2 linked regions of the Ovis aries genome follow. The protein of the gene in region 1 purifies or fractionates together with the protein of each later gene. This does not show direct contact. Links are inferred from orthologs where the notes say so. Each region holds a gene or a part of one and is shown in the gene's direction. Other genes may lie near its edges. The genes, in order: SLBP and CTIF.

What was found.
Region 2: the proteins of SLBP (region 1) and CTIF purify together in Homo sapiens (affinity purification with western blotting; 3 studies listed by BioGRID). This does not show direct contact. The link is inferred for Ovis aries from reciprocal best matches to the Homo sapiens genes SLBP and CTIF.

What each region holds. Positions count from the first base shown.
Region 1 is NC_056059.1:117,534,398-117,538,195, forward strand, and holds part of SLBP (histone RNA hairpin-binding protein), read left to right. Parts: intron 1-1,169; coding exon 1,170-1,229; intron 1,230-1,528; coding exon 1,529-1,666; intron 1,667-2,181; coding exon 2,182-2,331; intron 2,332-3,798. UniProt on the Homo sapiens protein: RNA-binding protein involved in the histone pre-mRNA processing.
Region 2 is NC_056076.1:48,545,351-48,549,749, forward strand, and holds the start of CTIF (CBP80/20-dependent translation initiation factor), read left to right. Parts: upstream 1-1,549; 5' UTR 1,550-1,845; exon of another isoform or gene 1,846-2,906; intron 2,907-4,399. UniProt on the Homo sapiens protein: Specifically required for the pioneer round of mRNA translation mediated by the cap-binding complex (CBC), that takes place during or right after mRNA export via the nuclear pore complex (NPC).

The sequences.
Region 1 (3,798 bases):
TGGTCTGCCTTCCTTCCCACCAGGAGGTGAGGGGTGAGCCGTGAGCTCGCTGTGTATCAAGGCAGTTGGCTCACACTACACACCAGCAGCCTGAAAATTGGAAAATGGGCTTTAGTTACACCTGAGGGTGAAAGTGAAGTCGCTCAGTCGTGTCTGACTCTTTGCAACCCCATGGGCTGTAGCCCACCAGGCTCCTCTGTCTGTGGGATTTTCCAGCAAGAATACTGGAGTGGGTTGCCATTTTCTCAAGAGGATCTTCCCCACCCAGGGATTGAACTCCAGTTTCTGACATTGCAGGCAGACTCTACCCTCTGAGCCCCCAGGGAATCCCTTAGTCATACCTGAAAGGGTTCCAGAAAGAATGAGATCCTGCAGAAAGTGACCTCAGGGACTAGCGTTTCAGTTCTCGTGTGATGGCTCCAGACACACACTGTCCAGACTTCCCTGGGACTTCCCCGCAGACTGGGACCGGGTGAGGCACCTCAGTGTGTGGCCTCTTTTGGACCCTACTGTGAACCTCTAGCTAGAGGCAGTTTCCAGGTCAGATTGTTCTGTGTTTTTTGGTTGGTGATGAGGCACCGCAGTGTGTGGCCTCTTTTGGGCCCTATCGTGAACCTCTACCTAGAGGCAGTTTCCAGGTCAGATTGTTCTGTGTTTTTTTGGTTGGTGACATAACCTTTGCAAAGTTCGGTGTTGGTTGTTGCTGTGCTAGAAAGCAAATTCCCGGTGCATCCATAAGGAAGGAGGTTGGGGGTGGGAAGGTGTGCAGCTTTCCCAAGGTGAGCGGTGCCCAACAGGCATGTGTCTTGTTAATGAGTGATTGTGGTATTAGAAGTAAAGACTTCATTTCAGCTCACATTAGTTTTTCCTGAAGGTTTCAGGGTTAGAGAGATGTAAATTTCCATGGTCTCACCACTTAGCGGGCAGCTTGAGTTTTCTTTCAGAACTGGTTGCTTTAAGTATCCTGTATGGTCTTGGCAAGTAGCCTTATCTTCTCACCAGAGAATGGTGATTGAAGGAGGTTGAAAATAAAAGAAGCCGCCTTACTGTGACTGTTGCTTAACCCACTTACCAGACCACACCCTCAGAGAGGCTTTGTAGCTCTAGAAGCGTTGAGTTGATTTCTGTACCTTTGTAAAAACAGCAACGTTTATTTACTTTGCTCTCAGATATAAAAGGAAACTCCTCATCAATGACTTTGGAAGAGAGAGAAAGTCATCATCAGGAAGGTAAATGCTATGTAATCGTTTCTTTTCTAATTAATAACCCTGTGACTTACTCATGAAAAATAAGGCGGACATGTGAGCGTGAAATGCTGGCTCTCGGTAGTGTTTCCTATTTTTTCTGTTCTTCACTGATTTGAAATACGTATCCTGTACTAAATCTCTGTATATTCAGATTCTAGACTGTTCTGGAGTTAATACAGTTTGGAAATCCAGCGGGCAAGTGCTCTGTTATTGTGTTTACGCATTTTCTTATGTCATGATCTTGTTTGTGAGGTTTGCTGTGTTAATTTCATTTTATTTAGTTCGGATTCGAAGGAGTCTGTGTCTGCGTTGCCGGCCGACTTGGAGACGGATGAAAGTGTCCTGATGCGGAGGCAGAAGCAGATCAACTATGGGAAGAACACCATCGCCTATGACCGCTACATCAAAGAAGTCCCCAGGTAGGCCCGCGCCGCCAGCGTGGGCTGGCCAGGCCACGGGCGTGGGTGCTGAATCTGATTCTGGGTGTAGTTCGCCTGCTAAGAGCTCTCTTATCAGTGATCTTCAGGCACTTACATAAAGAGGAACATGTTGGTGCCTGCGAAACCAAGGACACGAAGACAAGTGACATTTTCATAGTTTAGAGTGTTGGGTGACGTTGTCAGGAGTAGCTGTCTTGTAAATGTGGGACTGTTAACGTACATGATGGCGAAGGTTCAGTTCAGGTTGCAGATTGTAAAGCTTTCGCTAGAGAAGAGCACGAGCCTTAGCCAGTCTGCGTCAGCAGCATGCGTCCTGCCTCCCACACAGGGATGCAGTGGGAGCTTTACGGGGCGCGGGAGCTGCCGGCCTGAATGCAGGTGTCCTTTGCTGGAGCGTGGATTGCAGGGAAGAGCAATCGGCGAGGTAGCGCTGTTTAGCTCCTGTTCACATGTGGGCCTGCCTGTGCACCAGCATCACCCCTCTGTCCCTGTAGGCACCTTCGACAGCCCGGCGTTCATCCCAAAACCCCCAACAAATTCAAGAAGTACAGTCGGCGGTCGTGGGACCAGCAGATCAGACTCTGGAAGGTGGCTCTGCATTTTTGGGATCCCCCAGCTGAAGAAGGATGTGATTTGCAAGAAATGTACGTCTCTTTGGAGTCTTGTCCCCCCTGTCTGCCGTGATGGCAGCGGCTCTTGCTGTGTGGCAGGTCACCCTGTATCCTGTCTGTCTTGTCTCTGCTAGTGTCTGAAGCTGGCGGTGTGGGCTCCAGGAGGGGCTGGAGGGAGGGATGCGCTTCCTGGGTTGGACTTACTGTTTGTAGCTACACCAAACTGACCTTAGTAGAGGTACATGGGGTTTTCTTTGTTTTCTAAGATAAAATGTTTTGGAAAGCTTGAATAGTTAGGTTGAGCTAGGCAGCTCAGGGGTACGGAATCTGCAAGAGACTTGCACATTGGTCCCTGGGTCGGGAAGATCCCCTGGAGAAGGAGGTGGCAGCCCACTCCAGTATTGCCTGGGAAATCCCATGGACAGAGGAGCTTGGCGGGCTATAGTCCATGGGGCCACAAAGAGCTGAACGTGACTCGGGGGCTAAATAGTAGTGAGCAGGCGCACTGTGTAGTCAGTTCACTCCGCTGGGCGGTAGAGACTGGCACAAGCTCGCGAAGCAGCTACACTCAGTGGCGGCTGGGGCTCCCCAGTTGGCTCAGTGGTGAAGAGTGCCTGCCGGTGCAGGAGACACAGGTCCAGTCCCCGGGTCGGGAGGATCCCTGGAGGAGGGAGAACTCCAGTATTCTTGCCTGGAGGCCCCGTGGATGGAGGATCCCAGAGTTCAGTCCACAGGGTTGCAGAGGGTCAGATCCGGCTCAGTGGCTGAACAGCAAACGTGAGAGGCTTTCCCTTTTTTTTTTTTTTTGCCTACGGAAGGTTTTTCTTTCTAACCTCTGTCCAGTGGAGAAGGCCTCGGGTTGAGCTTCTGCCGTGTGGTGTGGATGCCGGCTTGGCGGGGAGACGGAGGCTGGCCTGTGGTTCTCTCCTCAGCTCCCTTGTCTGAACTTCTCCCTCCCTCAGAGACCCAGTTAGTCGTCCAAGTGTCTGAGTTTCTGCTCTGAGCTGGGGACATTTATTAGAAGCTGTCAGGTCTGAGGCGAGGTCTGAGGCACGTCTTTGTGAAGTTGGCCTCGCTTCACAGGCATGCCTGGTTTCTTTCCAGTTGCCATTGTTGCCCCATTCTCTCTGTGAGCAGGAGATTGGAAACATGAGTGGTGGTGTGTAGTTTGGTTTGTCAGCGTGTGTCCCCCCAAACTGGGCTTTACTGTCGCCGCTTCTGCTTAGAGGGATGCTTGTGGGCGCGTACAGACAGCTGGCCACGCACAGGAGTGGGCAGCTTGTTGCGTGCTCTGAGCACGGTGGGCATTGTGCCCATGGTGGGCATTGTGCCCGTGGTGGCCGCTGCCAGCCTTCCTCGGGGAGGATTCGGGGGGGGGGGCATCCTCTCCTCAGGGCGGAGGAGGTGCTGGGAGCGCGCGTGGCGGCGTGGCACTGGCAGGGTCTCACGGAACCGGCCTGGTGTGCTCGTCTGCATCGCGTGCCTCCTGGTTCTCTCACG
Region 2 (4,399 bases), on another chromosome or scaffold:
GGCCTCGCGTGGCTTCTGATACCCACTCTACCTCTTATGAATGCCTGACTATGGGTCTGCTGCCTTTCTCTAGAAGGGAGGGGATGACCCAAGAGTCAAAAGAGTCAAAAGAGCCAGACGTGGCTGCAGATGCTGCTTTGCTTTCCTCTGATGGCTTGGCGCATACCAAGAAGACATGCCCTCTGCTTTCAAAGAAATCCCACTCCTCCTTCAAGGCCCACTGCAAGCCCTACCCCTGGTGAAAAGCCATCCCAGGCTCCTCTGCCCTCTAGACCCATCCTTCATCCCTGACCCCCCCTTTTGGAGTCTCCCTTTTGCACTGCCAAATTGCTAGGACTTTCAGAATTTGCTCTTTTATCTCTGTCTGGAGCCTTTGTACCCTGTAGCCTTGTTCAGAGGCCAACTCTTTCTTTTGCCTTTGTTAACATTTTTTAGTAATTCTTACCTAACACGCTGCCTCCTCCAAGGAAGCCTTCCTTGATCCTCTCCTTCTTGCATCCGTGCTCCATCCTGGCTGGCTGCTCCTCCTGAGGGTTCCACAGCACGTTATGCCTACACCTATGTTAGGTGTGGACTTATCCCCTATACCCTCATTGACTGCAGTCCTTAATGCTAGACTTTGAATTCCTTGAGGGTCTCACCAGTCTTGGCATCCCCAGACCTGTTCTGTCTGTGAAAAGTGCTCACTAAATGTTATATGAATTTATAAACAATTTTTTTCAGCAGCTATACCATGTCCCACAAGTCCTTCCATGAGTTTATAACCCCTTTCCATGAGTTTATAACCCCTTTCCATGAGTTTAAGGGAGTTCATAACTCCTTTGCTTGGAAGGTGTACAGCATCATGTATTTCTCCAGAAGGCTTCTCTGTGCTAAGCCCAGTGCCCAGCACCTAACAGGTACTTGGAAAACACTGGTGATTCGGTAAAGTGATTACTGAATTACCCTCTGCGCTGAATTCTCCTGTCCACCAAGTCCCCTGCCTTAGCCCTTAGCATGGCCAATGGAAAATTAATTGGTTGCAAAGTGCATATCTAATTACAACATCCCGCCCCTGCCACTGAGATGTTCAAATGTTAATTATAACATATGCATCTCAGTAACAGACGGTAGCATTTAATAGAGCATTAGTAACTGCCCTTGGGCCGCCCAGGGAGTACACAACGCTCCCTTTCATCTGCTCTTAGGACAGACTTAGCACTTAAGAGCAAGGAAGTCCTCATCCTTAAAGCCGTCCGGTCCCTAAAATCAAATGTTTCCCTCCTCGCCCAAGTCCCCAGTTGAGGTCCCCACGCGGGGCGGCGCCAGCGCGCGGGGCGTGGGGTGGGGATCGGCCGTCGGGCGTGGGGTTTCGGCGAGGCTCGATCTGCTATCTGGGCGGCTCGGGCGGCCTGCCCCCGCGCCACGGCGGCGCCCCGCTTCTCCAGGGCCCGCCATCCCGGGAAAGAAAGGCGAACTACATTACCCAGCAGGCCTCCCGCCGTCCTCGTTCCTTTCATGTCTTTGCACGTGGCCGGAGGGGAGGGCGGAGCCTGGACGACACCCTCCCACATTCTCTTTCCCTGTGTCAGAGCAGGGATCATTTTTTTTTTTTTCCTTCCTCTGCTCCCTCCCCCCGCCCGCCCCTCTTTCCCTCCTTCCCTTCCCTCCCTCCCTCCCCTCTCGGCTGGGTTTGTGCGCTGGGGCGCCGGAGGCCCCCCCCTTAGCCGCCGGGACGCGCGGAACTCGGGGCGGGGGATCGGCTCTCCCGAGCCTCCTCCCTCCCTTCTCCTTCCCTGCCCCCTTCCCCCCCCCCCCACCCCACCCCCAACTCGGGCTCGGAGCGGCGGCCTGAGGAACCCCGAGGTGAGCATCTCCCCCACCGTCCGCCGCCTCCCCCCCCAACCCCCCCGTCTCCTGTAGTCATCTCTCGTTGCGGGTCGATTCCGGGACCGGTGAGGAAGGGCTCTGTGACGTGTGCGTGCTTACAGATAAATCCGGGAAAACCGCCCCAAACAATTAGCCCCCTACCTCCCTACCTCCTCCTCCCACCCTGCGCCCCGGGCAGCCAGGCGTCCGCGCCCATCCTGCGTCCCCGCCTCTGTCGGGGACGGCACTGTGAGATCGCGCCCCCTCCCCAGGTTTGCCCCTTCTCAGCCGGTTCCCCGCCAGTAGGGGAGCCGTGGCCCTGGAGCTCCGGTGAGGAGGGGGGCTCTGTTGGCGTGGGGTGAGGAGGGGGTGCACGGTTGGAGCCGCGCGGTGTAGCCGCTGTCATGTGCCGGATTCCGACCCGGAGGGAGGAAGCAAGCGAGCGAGCGTGATTCCTCTCCCTTTTGTTGTGAAGCCCGCATTTGCTGCATTGGTTCACGAACCGGCCAAACTTGCAGCTGTTCTGACCGTAGTCGGCGGAGGTAGGGAGCGCGGCTCCGGGTGGCGGCTAAGGGCCGGAGGCTGCCGCGCTCGCGGCTCCCGGAGGGACCCTGGGAGTGTCTTCACGCTGCCCCTCCGTCCTCCTGCGACCGATTGTGTCTGTGGCAGCGGCCGCGTGTGAGTGTGTGTGTGTTTGTGTGTGCGCGCCCGTCCCCGCGGGCGCGGAGATGTCTGTCGTCTAGACAGGCTGCACCCTCCCTCCGTCCCTGGTGAGCCCGCGGACCGCGCGCGGGGGGCGCGGGGCGGGGATGGGAGCAGAGGAGAAAGCCGGATCGCTGGCTCCACTGCGGTCGCAGCTTTGGACCTTCCCCACGGCAGTGATTCTCCTTTCTTTTTTTACGTTCTTATTCCTGCCGCCGCGGTGTAATCGGGCCTGGGGAACAGACCTGTCCGGTGGAGTCAGGGTTAAGTTGACAGGCTTTGAAAAGCCAGCTCGCGGTGGCTGGTGACCCGGGCCGGAGCGGAGTGGGCTCCGGCTCGGGTTCTTTAACGAGCAGGTGACTGTCTCAGACGCGGGTCCTGGTGGGGTGTGTGTGGGGGCGGGGAGGGAGGTGGTGGGCGGCGGGCAGGGGGGCGGTGGCTCGGCTGCAGCGGAGATCTGGTGCCCCGGAGGGCCGCGTGTCGGAGCCAGGGTACCGCTGGGGGAGGCGTCCCGGGGACCGCGCATCTGAGTTGGGTCTCTCCTCTGATGTTAAATGACAGTTGTGGAGGGGAGGTGGTGGAGGTCTGAGCCCCTCTGGGCTGCGTTGGCTGTTTGGCTTCGCGGAGTTTTCAGGGTTGGTGTTGCGGGGGGGGGGCAGGTGTGAACAGAGAGGGAGGTGCGGCGTGTAAAGGGGAGGGGTGGTTGGCGGCACGCTGTGCATCCCCACTCAAGGAGTGAGGCGTCGCCTCCCCCGCCCAGCTGTTTGTGTGTGTACACACCGTTCTGGCGTGCGTGCGCGGGGCGGGGACCGCAGACCGATGCGTAGTGGGGACGCGCTTGGGCCCCGAGCCCCCGCGGGGATCGGTCCCGCCGGGGCTCGTAGTCGTGTGTGTGTCCGCGCCAGCGCCCTGGTTCCTTGGAGAGGGGGGTTCGTGCGGCCGAGGGCTCGGGGAGATCCTGGGGTTGCTTGTGAGCCGGGTCGGTGAGAGAGGGCCTGGCCAGAGACGTGCCGCGGTCCCTCTCCTCGCGTCCCCGACGCCTCCCCCCGACCCGGACCCGGCAGGCTGGCCGTCTACTCGGCGGCGCCGCGGGCTGGTCTGGCTGGGCCTGGAGGAGCGGCGGGGCGCTTGTGCGTTGCGCCCCCGCCCCCTTCGCTTGACCCTTGGCCCGGGGCGCGCTGTGGGTGCGCGCGGCCGCTCCGGCCGCTGCCTTCGCAGATCCTGGAGGGAATCGGCGCCCCTGCGTACCCCCTCCCAATTCTTCGTCCTAGAGACAGTGGAGGCCGAAGGCTGCCCGGCCCGCCGGGTCGCGCTCTCCGCCCCGAGCTGCCTCCGGCGCGGGTGCCGGGTGCCGGGTACCCAGCCGGCCGCAGGCAGGTCTTTGCCCTCCCGGAGCTGGGTCTCTGCGACAGGGGATTATCTCCCAGGCTCAGGGCCCGCGCGCAGAGGGAGGAAGCCACCGGAGCTGCTGGTTTCGCAGCGGCTGGGGGCTTCCGAAGGCGAAAGTGACACAGCACGAGCGCCGCTACCGCCCGAGCTGAAAGCGAGAGGAAGGAGCCGCCCAGAGGGCGGGGAGGGGCCGCAGGCTGTCCGGCCCTGTTCCTCCTGTCCAGCGACGGGTCTGGGCCGAAAACCTCAGGGAACCTGGCTCCGAGCATTCTGGGAACGCGCGAGAAAAATTGCTTGGCTTTCAAGAAAACCCGGTTATACTGGAACAGAACGCACTGAGCAGACGTTAAGATGTCCGGCCCCTCGCGGGATGCACTCAGGTGGCCCCAGGAAGCTCCCTTAACGTGTTTAAGACAGGATTCAATTTACACACAGATCATCTCACCTGCTGTGTCACGTG